Linked DNA regions of Sus scrofa. The protein of the gene in region 1 purifies or fractionates together with the protein of each later gene. This does not show direct contact. Links are inferred from orthologs where the notes say so. Each region holds a gene or a part of one and is shown on either strand. Other genes may lie near its edges.

Evidence for each region. The genes of interacting proteins can lie anywhere in the genome.
Region 2: the proteins of CDK9 (region 1) and IMMT purify together in Homo sapiens (affinity purification with mass spectrometry; 3 studies listed by BioGRID, with this or other methods). This does not show direct contact. The link is inferred for Sus scrofa from reciprocal best matches to the Homo sapiens genes CDK9 and IMMT.

The regions. Positions count from the first base shown.
Region 1 is NC_010443.5:268,274,313-268,280,758, reverse strand, and holds CDK9 (cyclin-dependent kinase 9), read right to left. Parts: upstream 3,677-6,446; coding exon 3,585-3,676; intron 3,121-3,584; coding exon 3,039-3,120; intron 2,293-3,038; coding exon 2,202-2,292; intron 1,835-2,201; coding exon 1,668-1,834; intron 1,557-1,667; coding exon 1,385-1,556; intron 1,232-1,384; coding exon 1,083-1,231; intron 632-1,082; coding exon 266-631; downstream 1-265. UniProt on the Homo sapiens protein: Protein kinase involved in the regulation of transcription.
Region 2 is NC_010445.4:58,594,595-58,600,561, forward strand, and holds part of IMMT (MICOS complex subunit MIC60), read left to right. Parts: intron 1-985; coding exon 986-1,175; intron 1,176-3,359; coding exon 3,360-3,471; intron 3,472-5,769; coding exon 5,770-5,907; intron 5,908-5,967. UniProt on the Homo sapiens protein: Component of the MICOS complex, a large protein complex of the mitochondrial inner membrane that plays crucial roles in the maintenance of crista junctions, inner membrane architecture, and formation of contact sites to the outer membrane.

The sequences.
Region 1 (6,446 bases):
GCACTCCTGTCCTAAAGTCAATGGAGACCCTCTGGGCATCGTCCCCAAAGCCTGGGAACAAGGTGAGGCAGCCCAGGTGCCCTCCTGGACTCTCAGCCACAGCTTTATTCCAGTCCGCGCGGCGGGCTCCCGACGCCCCCGGCGGGGATTAAATAAAATATGCACTAGAGAAAAAACTCAAATGCCCCATCATCTCCACAACGCAAATCACAGAGCAGAAGGAAAAAATCAAACAGCCCTAGCGAGAAGCACCAGCAGCCGGCCCTCAGAAGACGCGCTCGAACTCCGTCTGGTTGGTGGTGGCTGGATTGCGGCTCTGGTTGGTGGACTGCTGGGTGATCTGGCTGCCCTTCCGGCGCGGCGGGGCCAGGTACTCGAACATGGACGTCAGGTGGGTGGACAGCATGCCCTTGAGGTCCGAGGGCATGGGGTCGGACCAGAAGAAGTCGTGGTTGAGGGCGTCGTCACTGTCGATGCGCTGGGCGGGATCCAACACCAGCAGCTTGTCGATGAGGTCCAGCGCGTAGGGGTCACGCACGTAGGCCTTCAGCCTGTCCTTCACCTTCCGCTTCTGGCCCTTGACCAGCTCCAGTTTCTCAAACAGCTCATACTTGTCCACGTTTGGCCACACCTGGGGTGGGAGGCGTGGAAGGAGGATGGCGTGAGTTCAGGAACCACGTGGCCTGTTAGGTCAAGCACCCGAAGGGACCAACACTTCTCGCTTCAGATGCTCCCAGACCGCCCCCGAGGGCACACTGGATGCCTCCAAGGTAAAGGCAGCAGTAACCGCTGTACGTGGCAATTGCTAAGCACCAGGCCCTCTCACACCGACTGCCTGCAAGCCCGATACAGCCGGCTGTTGCCCGGAAGAGGAGCTCAGCTCTGAAAGGTTCAGAAGCCTCGCCCAAAAGCATTGACCTAACCGGTGATGGAGCCGGTGAACACAGTCCATGTGGCCCCAAAGAGCAGATTGTGACCCTCCGCCAGCCACCTCTCCCTCTGCTCCCCGCCCTGCCCCTCCTCTACCAAGGAGAGGTCTGGATCTCTGCAGCCTGCGGGGCCCAGACAGCCTGGCGACGCACCTCAGGGGTGATGGAGCCACAGAGCTGGCTGATGAGGGCAAGCTGGTGCTGCTCCGTGTTGCCCTGCATGATGGGGCTGCGTGTCCACATCTCCGCCATGATGCACCCGGCACCCCACAGGTCGATGGGGGGGCCGTAGTCCCGCTCCCCTGAGAAGAGCACACCAGGAGGGCCCCTTGAGCCCGGCCTCCGGAGGCGCGGGGCCCCAGGGCCGGCAGCTCAAGAAGCCCAGGCAGGGGGGAGCGGAGGCTGGCTAAGGGCCCAGCCTCCTGCCCCTCCTAGGCCTGCTCAAGCGTCCTCACCGAGCAACAGCTCCGGGGGCCGGTACCAGAGCGTCACCACACGGTTGGTGTAGCGGTTGGGCTGGCTGTTCTTGGCAAGGCTGAAGGCCCGGGCCAGCCCGAAGTCGGCCAGCTTCAGCACCCCGTCGCGGGTGATGAGCACGTTGGCCGCCTTCATGTCCCGGTGCAGGATCTGCGGGAAGCACACGGGCGGGGGTAGCCAGGGGCCCTGAGCCGCACCCACCCCGCACGGAGAGCCCAGGCCAGCCTGGGTCTCCCCCCGACCCCCGACCCCGGCCCCCACCTTGTTCCTGTGGATGTAGTAGAGGCCATTGAGCAACATCTGCATGACCCGCTTGATCTCCGACAGCGTGAACTTGACTAAGACGTTGCTCAGCAGCCCGGCGAGGTCATGTTCACAGAAGTCAAACACCAGGTATATGCTGCCTTTGCAGCGGTTATAGGGGGAAGCTGAGTCAGGAAGCACGAGGGAGAAAGAGAGGGGTGGGAAAAAAAAAAAAAAATCAAAAACCTCACACGCAACTCATCTTCCCACAACCAGCTCCTACCCCCTCCAACCTATGGACAGTGGGTATGTGGCTGCCCATTCCTGCACGGGTAAAATATTTTCTGAGTGCTTCTCTGGGCCGGGCGCTGTGGCAGGCCCTGGGGAAGCACCTGCTCCCACAAAAGGACCCGGGAAAGCAGTTGCAGGTGGTGTGTCTGGGTTAAGAAGAGGCAGTGAAGTGGGTCCGGTTCCAGCTCCGCCAGCAAAACCTGAGGCGAGAAGCCTCATTCTCCCCACCTGAAAACGGAGGGCAAGATCCAAACAGCTTACCTTTGGTTCGACAGATCTCAATCAGGTTGACCACGTTCTCGTGTTTTAGGAGCTGGAGGATCTTGATTTCCCGCAAGGCCGTGATGGGGAACTGGGTGAGAGAAAGACAAGGAGGTCAAGAGCGGGAGAGCACACTACTGACCCAGGAACTGGCCATGGGATCCACAGTAAGGGTCGAAGGTTGGGAGACAGAGTCAAATCGTGGGCTCTGAAATGAGCTGCCTCAGATGCCATATTTAGAACACGGGCATACTAGTAGAAAGTACCCCTTCGGGAGCTGGTTTCAGACGATGACTTGAAGTTTTGCTACTTCACACAAATGCTTTATGACTAGCCATTAAATGCTGCACGGTTTCTTTAAACTCATAATGTAGAGCTCTGCACCCGTGTTTAACCTGTTACATGGTTAACAAGACAAAAAATAAAGAAGCAGGTCTTTGGGAAACTGGACTAGAGCTACGATGGGGGGGGGAGCATTTCAATTGAATACCAGTTACTCTTTTAGGGCTATGACATATGATTTTTTTTTTTAAACATTCGACAAAAGTAAAGCCCAAAGGAAAAGTGTTTAAAAACTTCCTAACTTCAGGAACCAGGGTGCACTCAGTGCAAGCATGAGCTCCCCCTCCTGGCACCAACCACGTGCACCTGAGAATGAAACATCAAACTCTTTAAAACATTTGAATTAAAAGATTTAACCTGAAAGTCAGATTCCATAGAACACAGAAATTCCTAAACACATAAATTCAACCTCAGCATGAAAGTCCCAGAAGCAGGGTGGAAACCCAACCTCTGCCCAAGGGACCTAGCAGGCCTGCCCACCCGCCCCGTACTCACCCCCTCCTTCTCGTTCTCCATCAGTACCTTCTTCAGAGCCACCTTTTGGCCGGTCTTGCGGTGCTTTGCCTTAAACACCTCCCTGCAGGCCGAAAGGGGGACCCAAGAGGACTCTTGAGGCCGTTTCCGCAGGGCCCGCCCCGCCCCCACCAGAGGAGGGCAGGAAAGGGAATCCCGGGCGGGGCTGGGCCGGGTACAGAGGGCCCTCGGCTACACCAACGCGCGGTATCTTCGGTCCCTCTCCGAGCCTCTATTTCCTTCCCTTTGCCCTTTCTCCTCACCCAGGCGCCGCTGCTGGGAGAGATCCCGCTCCACTCACAGGCTCCTCTCTGCAACCCCTCCCTGCCTCCCATCAAGGGCCTCAGGCTCCTCCCCGCCAGCCGGCTCGGTCAGGCACGGGCGGGCTGCGGTGCGGCCTAGCGAGACCAGGGGACAAGTTTGCGGCTAGGTGGCTTCCCAACCAACTGGACACGGGCCTGGGCGTCTCGACATCGGTCCAGAGGGGTGCAGGCTCAGGGCTCCTGGTCCCTGGGGGCCCAGCCTTACCCGAAGGTGCCTTGGCCGATTTTAGCGAGCTTCTCATATTTGGTCACCTCATCACAAAAGGGGCACTCCACCGAGTCGTACTGCTTTGCCATGGCCGCCTCCAGTGCGCCGCCGCCACCTCCAGCCGCCGCTGCCGCCGCCGCTCCCGCTCCGGGTCCCGCCGCCGTGCTCCAGGCCCCTCCGCGGCCGCGCCACTTCCGCCTCCACGGCCACTTCCGGCCCCGCGGCGCCGACCCCGCCTCTTCCGTCCGCCGTCCGCCGCCAGGCCCCCTGGGACTTGTAGTTCCCGGGAGGCCAGGAGGAGCCGGAGCTGCAGAGGCGCCTCCGCCACCGCCGCTGCCCCCGCCTCCGCCGCCGCCAGTGCTGGCGGCGGCCCCGATCGGGGGCGCGGGGAGCCGGGGCGCCGGGGCTGGGGCTCGGGGTGGTGCGTCCCGCTGCATCGGCTCGGGCCGCCGCTGCTGCCGAAGCCGCTGCCGCTCTGGCGCCCGATCCGGGGCCAGCCGCAGTGCCCTGCTCCTCCTCCTCCGACGGCGCCGCCTCCGCCAGGCTGCGCGGGGCGGCGGGAGGGGGGCGCCCCCCAAGCCTCGGCCTGGGGGCTCCCTGGCCGGGCCCGGGCCCGGGGCGGCCGGACGAGGGGGCCAGACGGAAAGAGCCGACGAGGAGGCGGCCCGAGAGCCCGGGAGGGGGCGCGTTATAAAGGGGGAGGTGCCCCGGCCTCGCCCTCCCCTCCCCCTCCGCCCGCCCCCTCCCTCCTCCCTCCCACCCTTCGCGGCCGCACCTGCCGCCGCTGCCGCCGCCGCCGCCGCCGCCGCCACTGCCGCCCGCCCGCCCGCTGTCCGCCCGCCGCCCTCGGCGCGTCACCGCCCGCGGCCCCTCCTCCGCCTTCGGAGGTGGGGCCCCGCGCTCCACACCTGGCTGCTGGGCGACTCGCCGCGTGCCTCAGTTTACCCACACATGCCAGCAGCTTCAGGGAACCCCTTCCTTCCCAGCTCCGGGTGCCCCCCTACAGGCAAAGGAGGGAGGCGCCGAGGAAGCAGCCTCGGGTCCAGAGAGGAGAGAACGGCCCCCACCGCCCGCCTCTCCGGGCCCCCGCCGGCCGCCGTTGATATGGCAACCGATGGCCGCCAGGGGGCGCGGCGACATTGGAGGCGGCAAGCGAGCAACTCCCGGGCCCCCTATTCTCTGGGAGGCAGGGATGAGGCCCAGGACCCCCGTCCCAGCTGAGCTGTGCCCAAGATGGTCGTGCCTGGGTCGGTAGTCACAAAAGTAGCCAGCATTTATTCGACAACCCTTGTGTGTTCAGCAAGTGCTGGGCATTCCTGCGGAATCCTGAATCAACAGCCCCATAAGTTAGGGTCACTAACCCATTTTATAGAAGAGCACATCGAGGCTCAGAGAGGTGAAATCATTTGCCCGAGGTTACACAGTGACAAAGCTGGGACTCGAACCTTGTCTGTCTGAATTTGAAAAGGATTCTCTGACTCAGGCTATTTACAGTCTGTCCAGGAGTATAGCAGTGGTACTGTTTGAGGCCCGCTGTCCATGCCAAGTTCCAAGCCCACCATTCACCCATCTCCTTCTCTGGCTCTCTGCCCCCTTCCCCTCCCCTGGCCTTTCCCCAGCATCTTCCTGGCTCCAGGAGCTTCCTGTTTCTTCTTCCAGCCCTACTCAACAACCAGCCTCCCCCCAAAGCTGTCTTTTCTGTCTCCTCTGTGCCGCTTCCATCTGCCTGCTCCTCCCCAGTCCTCTGCCAGTGGACCCTGGGACCTGTCCTTCCCAGTCTGCCCTCTCCATCTGTCCCCCTCCCAGCATCCGCCAGATCAGTCCCAGGTGGAGTCCCTCCACTGTCTTCAGGAAAAGTCGAATCGTGACATTTGAGGCTCTTTCCAGCTTCCCTCCTAGGCTGTGGCCACAGTGTTCCTAAGGCCCTGGGCCTGCCGTCTCCAGGGCTGTGCACCCTGATTGCACCCCAGTATCTCTGCAACCAGCAGGAAGCCCTCCCCGGCTTACTCTCCAGCTCTTAGCTCACATGGCTTGGCCTTGAAGCTCCCTTGTAGGAGTCAGGAATGGGTCTGCTGATCCTAGGGTCCCAAGAGGGCTTGTTCTGCCGGGGAGGGCCCTTTCAGGGAGGGTCTTGAGGGTCGGGCGAGGAGCCGCGAGCCCTCCCCTAAAGGCCGTGGGGAGTTGGCGAGGGTTTTAGGCATGTCAGGGGGCGATCTGGGGTCAGCTTCTTGGGTACACTACTAGAAGCAGGGCAGCCATTGGCTGAATCGGGGGTGGGGAGGTCAAGGAGGGAGAAAATAATAAGAAGTGTAGTAATTACAATTTATGGAGGGAAAATAAATGGTCCAAACAGTACACTTAGCACTTTATGGGAATTATCTCAATTCTCACTCAGCAGTATTATACTGTAATTACCTCTCCTGTACACAGAAGGACGCTGACACTCAGAGATGACATCACCCGGCCAGGGTCAAACAGCTCTCTTGACCCTGGTCAGTCAGGTGCCAACCTCAGGCAATGACCCGCATCAGGATCCCGCCCACTGGGGCTCGGGGTGGAGTTAGGACACAGACACGGCACAGCCCTGCCAGCTGGGTGCCCAGGATGCCAGTGGGTGGTGTGGGAGGGGAGGTCTGCCACGGGTCTGGGTGTCCTCCACCCCAGACTCTGAGGCCGGAGCCCCTGTGTGTTTCTCACGAACCCTCCCGAAGTCACATCCTGTGGGCAGAGGCCTCAGCAGAAGTTCCGGTGGTGTCATCACCTCCCACCATCCCTGCCCTGAACCTTGACATTGCCGGTCACTTCCCCTCGGGGTCTCGGCCTCTCAGCCCTCCCTGGGGGAGGCAGGCAGGTAGGCAG
Region 2 (5,967 bases), on another chromosome or scaffold:
GCTGCAGTTGGATCCTTAACCACTGTGCCACAGTGGGAACTATAACACCAGATTCTTAACCTGCTATGCCACCAGAGAATTTCCTACAGAAATGGTTAATAAGGGGGAGGACTTTTTTTTTAAGGCCATACCCATAGCATATGGAAGATCCTGTGCCAGGGATTGAATCCAAGCCACAACTGCAGCAATGCTGGATCCTTTAACCCACTGTGCTGGGCTGAGTATCAAACCTGTGGCTTCGTAGCAACCCGAGCTATTATAAGTTGGATTCTTTTTTTTTTTTTTTGTCTTTTTAGGGGTGTGCCCCTGGCATATGTAGGTTCCCAGGCTAAGGGTTGAATTGGAACTGTGGTTGCCAGCCTATGCCATAGCCACAGCAGTGCCAGATCCGAGCCACATCTGCAACCTACACCACAACTCAGGGTAGCACTGGATCCGTAACCCACTAAGCTAGGCCAGGGATCAAACCTGCATCCTCATGGATACTAGTCAGGTTTGTTTCTGCTGAGCCATGACGGGAACTCCTATAGTTGAATTCTTAACCCACTGCGCCACAGCAGGAACTCCAGGGAAAGGAGCTTTGAAGATTAGTGATACTTGTTTTTTGAGTTCAGAGGAAACTTCATGACTGTGAACATGCTAAGTTTTAAGTATTAAAGGGCAAATTGCTTGGTTTTTCCTGTACCGGATATTACTATTTAAAAAAAAAAAATTCCACAAGTAAAAAATAAGCATTTTTTAAAAATTATGAACATGTTAAAATCAAATCAGGTAATACAACATTGTGAATCAACTATACTTCAATAAAAGTTTTTTAAAAAATGAGTGAAAGGTGATTGTAGCTGTGGTGATAAACTGGGCTGCTGTCATCTGAATCAGCGGTAGAGAATTACAGGCCCGAGGTCTTTGAGACTCTTATTGGTCTAGGGAAGTACGTTTAAGAGAACTGAAAAACAAAAATGTGTTTCCTATTTCTTTCACTTAGGTTGTCTCCTGGCAAAATTGCCGGCGCTGGCATTTTATTCGTTGGTGGTGGTATTGGTGGCACTATTCTGTATGCCAAATGGGATTCGCATTTCCGGACAAATGTAGAGAAAACCATACCTTATTCAGACAAACTCTTTGAAATGGTTCTTGGTTCCCCACCTTATACTGTTCCATTACCAAAGAAGTCGGTAAGAGTTTTAAGAACAGTTTCAGTTTATCCTATGGTATACTTTGAAAAGCAGGTTGTTTTCATATTAAAAATATTTTGTATGTATAGTTCAGTAGAATTTTCTGGGTATATGTTTGTCATTTTTCTTTAAATTGACCTAATATTATGTTGAGCTGGATTCCCTTTGGAGTCCTATAAGTGCTCTCATTTAGTCCACGCCACATAGAAAAAAATTATATGGCACACCAGGCTAAATGGAATGGTGAGCTCAGGCAGAGCTTATTATAGTGAGCATGCATTTCATAAGTTAAAATAATGAAACTTAAATAAAAATAAAATAGATATTGTTCTTTTGTTTTCTTTTTTCTTTGTCTTTTTAGGGCCACACCCATGGCATATGGAAGTTCCAGGCTTGGGGTCCAGTCAGAGCTGCAGCTGCCAACCTATGCCACAGCCCCAGCAATGCGAGATCTCTTCTGTTTCTGTGACCTACACCACAGCTCACGGCAATGCTGGATCCTCAACCCACTGAGTGAGGCCAGGGATCGTGGATACTAGTCGGGTTCTTAACCTGCCAGGCCACATCGGGAACTCCTAGATATATTTCTAATTTTCAGTAGTGACAAAATTCAGAACCTATTCTGTTACGTCTGAGTGGTCGTCTTTGGGACCTCTGAGTCCCAATGCCAATTTCTGGCAAAAAGGGGGACAACATAGGCAGTAAATGAAAATATTTCTTTTACTCAGTAATTTTCTCTGGTACATTATCTAGCAGTCCTGTTCATGAACAGTGCCTTAAATTAGGTGGTTATTGAGAAAGATAAAAACATATTACAGTTAGATGATATATCATAATGTGTAAGTATGTGAATCTTGGAGATTAAAGAAATAAAAAACAGATTTTAATTTTTATTATATTTTTTCTTTTTTGGCCCCACTCGAGGCATATGGAAGTTCCCGGGCCAAGGATCAAATCTGAGCTGGAGTTGTGTAACCCACTGTATTGGGCTGGGGATTGAATTGGTCCTTCCACAGAGGCAAGCCAGATCATTAATCCATTGTGCCACAGTGGAAACTCTGAATTTTAATTTTTACTAAAGTTTTTTATTTATTTGTCTTTAAAATTTTTTTGACCATACCCACAGCATGTGAAAGTTCCTGGGCCAGGGGTTGAACTTGAGTAACAGCAGTGATGTGAGCTGCTACAGTGACAACACCAGATCCTTAACCTGTTGTGCCACAAGGGAATTCCCTCATAGCCATTTATTTATTTATAATCTTTTTTTAGGGCCGCAACTGCAGTATATGAAGGTTCCCAGGCTGGGGGTCGAATCGGACTGTAAGCTGCCAGCCTACATTGAAGCCACAGCAATGCAGGATCTGAGCTGCATCTGTGACCTACGCCACAGCTCACAGCAACACTGGATTCTTTTTTTTTTTTTTGTCTTTTTGTCTTTTTTTTTGTTGTTGTTGTTGTTGTTGCTATTTCTTGGGCCGCTTCCGCGGCATATGGAGGTTCCCAGACTAGGGGTTGAATCGGAGCTGTAGCCACCGGCCTACGCCAAAGGCACAGCAACGCAGGATCCGAGCCGCGTCTGCAACCTACACCACAGCTCACGGCAACGCCGGATCGTTAACCCACTGAGCAAGGGCAGGGACCGAACCCGCAACCTCATGGTTCCTAGTCGGATTCGTTAACCACTGCGCCATGACGGGAACTCCCTGGATTCTTGACCCACTGAGTGAGGCCAGGGATCAAACCCACATCCTCATGGATACTAGTCAGCTAGTTACCGCTGAGCCATGGCGGGAACTCCCCCTCATAGCTTTTTAAAGAACATTTGTTTCTAACCAAATGTATTTAGAAAGAAAATAGAAATAGCCTTCTTAGTGTTGTGTATGTAAAAGGAATGGTGTTTAAAGTGAAGGCCCATATATCATATACTTTATTAGTTTCCCTAAGAGAAGTCTTTGTTACTGTTAAAATATGGACTAGTCATTTGGAATGAAATTTTTGGACTGCATTTTTCTAGTATGATGGCTTCTCTTACTATGGTTAATAAAATACATTGTTATGAATTATTGATAACTTTATGTTAAAAGCCTGGAAGACTTAACTTTTAAAATAATACAAGTTACTGTATGCTACCTCTTTTCATAAATAATATTATATCTGAAATGTTAAATGTTTTTCATTTCCAAGATTCAGTCTGGTCCACTAAAAATCTCTAGTGTATCAGAGGTAATGAAAGAATCTAAACAGCCTGCTTCACAACTCCAAAAACAAAAGGGAGACACTTCAGCTTCAATAACAGGTACTTATATGTAGAATCATTCTTTTAAAATTATGGGTAAATGAACTGTTCTAATGTATTTGTACTCATCATCGGGGTGGGGGGGCGGGGGCTGGTCCCCATGAAGGACTCTTCTCTCACCCTGGGGAGGGAATATTCTTACCTGTCACCTTGACTTCATTTTAGAGGTTGAGTGGGATATGGAGTTCATTTTATTGTGAACAGCTCCTGAGTAAGGCTAACAACAAGAATTGTCTTGCCTGCAGCAGACTTATTTTTCCCCTTTTCTCTGACCCCTATCCTTTCACCTTTTTAGATTTTAAGGTTTATTTTCTTTCCCCATCTCTTTTTTCTATCTGTTCACCGGTTCTTTCCTCTCTTCTTTCATAGTGATGAAAGTGTCCTGAGGAAGTTCCCTGGTGGCTCAATGGGTTAAGGATCTGGCATTGTCACTGCTGTGGCTCGGGTCACTGCTGTGTTGCAGGTTCAATCCCTGGCCCAGGAACTTCTGCATACTGCAGGCATGGCCAAAAAAAAAAAAAAAGAGAGAGAGAGTCCTGATCTAGTCTTGATCTACAGATGTTTTTTGCCTTTATGATTTCCCTGTAATCCCCACACTATTTACAGCATTTAACTAATCCTAACCTGTTCAATATACTTTTGAATCCATTATGTTCCTTCTTAGTCACTTCTGTCCTTCATTAAATCAGTTGACTTTCAGAGTTCCCGTTGTGGCTCAGTGGTAACGAACCTGACTAGTATCCATGAGGATGTAGGTTCGATCCCTGGCCTTGCTCAGTGGATCTGGTGTTGCTGTGAGTTGTGGTGTAGGTTGCAGACACGGCTCAGATTCCACGTGGCTGTGGCTGTGGCGTAGGCCGGCGGCTACAACTCCGATTCAACTCCTAGACTGGGAACCTCTGTAGGTCGTGGGTTCAGCCCTGAAAAGACCAAAAACAAAAAACAAACAAAAATCAGTTGACTTTTATCTAGCAAATATTCACTGAGTAGCTACTATGTGCGAAGTTCTGGGTGTCTTCTAGGCACTGGGGCTATATCAGAAAACAGTAAAAACAAAAACAAGTGCTGTGAACATTCCTCACTGGGATGAGAGGAGGGAAATTGTATATACATACACGAGTAAAATATATATAGGATGTCATACAGTGACAAGTGTGGGAGGAAATAATGCAATTTTAAATGGAGTGGGAAAGAAAAGTTTCTTCTGGAAGGTGTCGTTTGAGCAAAGACTAGAAGATGAGACCGTCAGTCACATAAAAGGTGCGTAGGGAAGAGCATCCAGGCAGAAGGATTAGCTAGTGCAAAGCCTTGGCCTGTTCTAGCAAGAAGCAAAGGAAGCTGGAGTGGAGTGAGAGGACAGGAGCAGATAGGTCAGAGAGGGAGCAGAAAGCCTGTGGTAGCAGTGAGAAGCGGCCATCACAGGAGTTTTGCTTCCTAGTCTGAGTGGGAAGTTGTTTGGGAGGGTTATGTGTCAGGGGATTGATATCTGACATTTATTTTCAAGATCACCAGTAATTGTGGAGGATAAGGAACCAAGGGCAGAACAGGGAGACCAGTTAATGGGCTTTGTGGTAATCCAACTCTGTCTCTTAAATGGCACCTTCAATTTACTAAAAATATAATTTTTTTTTCTCCATTTTGTTGCTTCCTGCCTCACATCTATTCCACCTTCAGAATTAATCATTTTCTCTTCCATCAACAGTATTATTTATAATTTACAAGCTCTTGCTTTTTTAACCCTCTTTTTTTAACAATGTCTACAAAATAGTTTTTTTAGCTGAGCTCTGTGCATTATTGACTCAACATCTAAACTGTGACCTTTTCTTCTTGAGATTAAAATGTCATCCTGTTCTTGCTCACACCTCTTCTTTAATCTTGATAACTCTTCAAAGCAATTAAAAATATTTTTTGGTTACTTTCTTTTGTCTGCCTTCTTCATTACAGGTTATTCCCTTTGTTATTATTTTTCATGTTATGTAAATATTATGTCCTCTTAAGTTCAGATTTACTACCATTTACTACCGTTACTAGAAGCCTTGCATGAGAATAATGGTTACAATGCAGGTGGATGCTGACAAGACTTCTTTCCCTTGTGCTTTTCTAGCCTTTGTTCATCTTGTGAGGGTTTATGCAGTGGACAGTGCCCCTAACTAATTGTGGGTTTGAATAGTGGCAGCACACATGTTTGTGTCTTTAAGGAGTCAGATGAGAAGTGGGAGATAGTAGTAGTGGTCTCCTGTGTGTTTGTTTCTCTGTTAACCCAGGAAACTATAAATACCATGCATAACATATTTATAGCACCTACAGAGGCAGCTCAAATTATTTCTGCAGCAGGTGATACACTGTCGGTCCCAGCCCCTGTGGTTCAGCATGAGGAATCTATAAAAGCCGATCGCCCTGCAACTGGTGAAGGAAAACCTAAGCCTGCAACTTCAGGTAGTTAAATTATCTGTACTCATGGTCTTATAAATGATATGCTCATCAAAACTCTGTAAT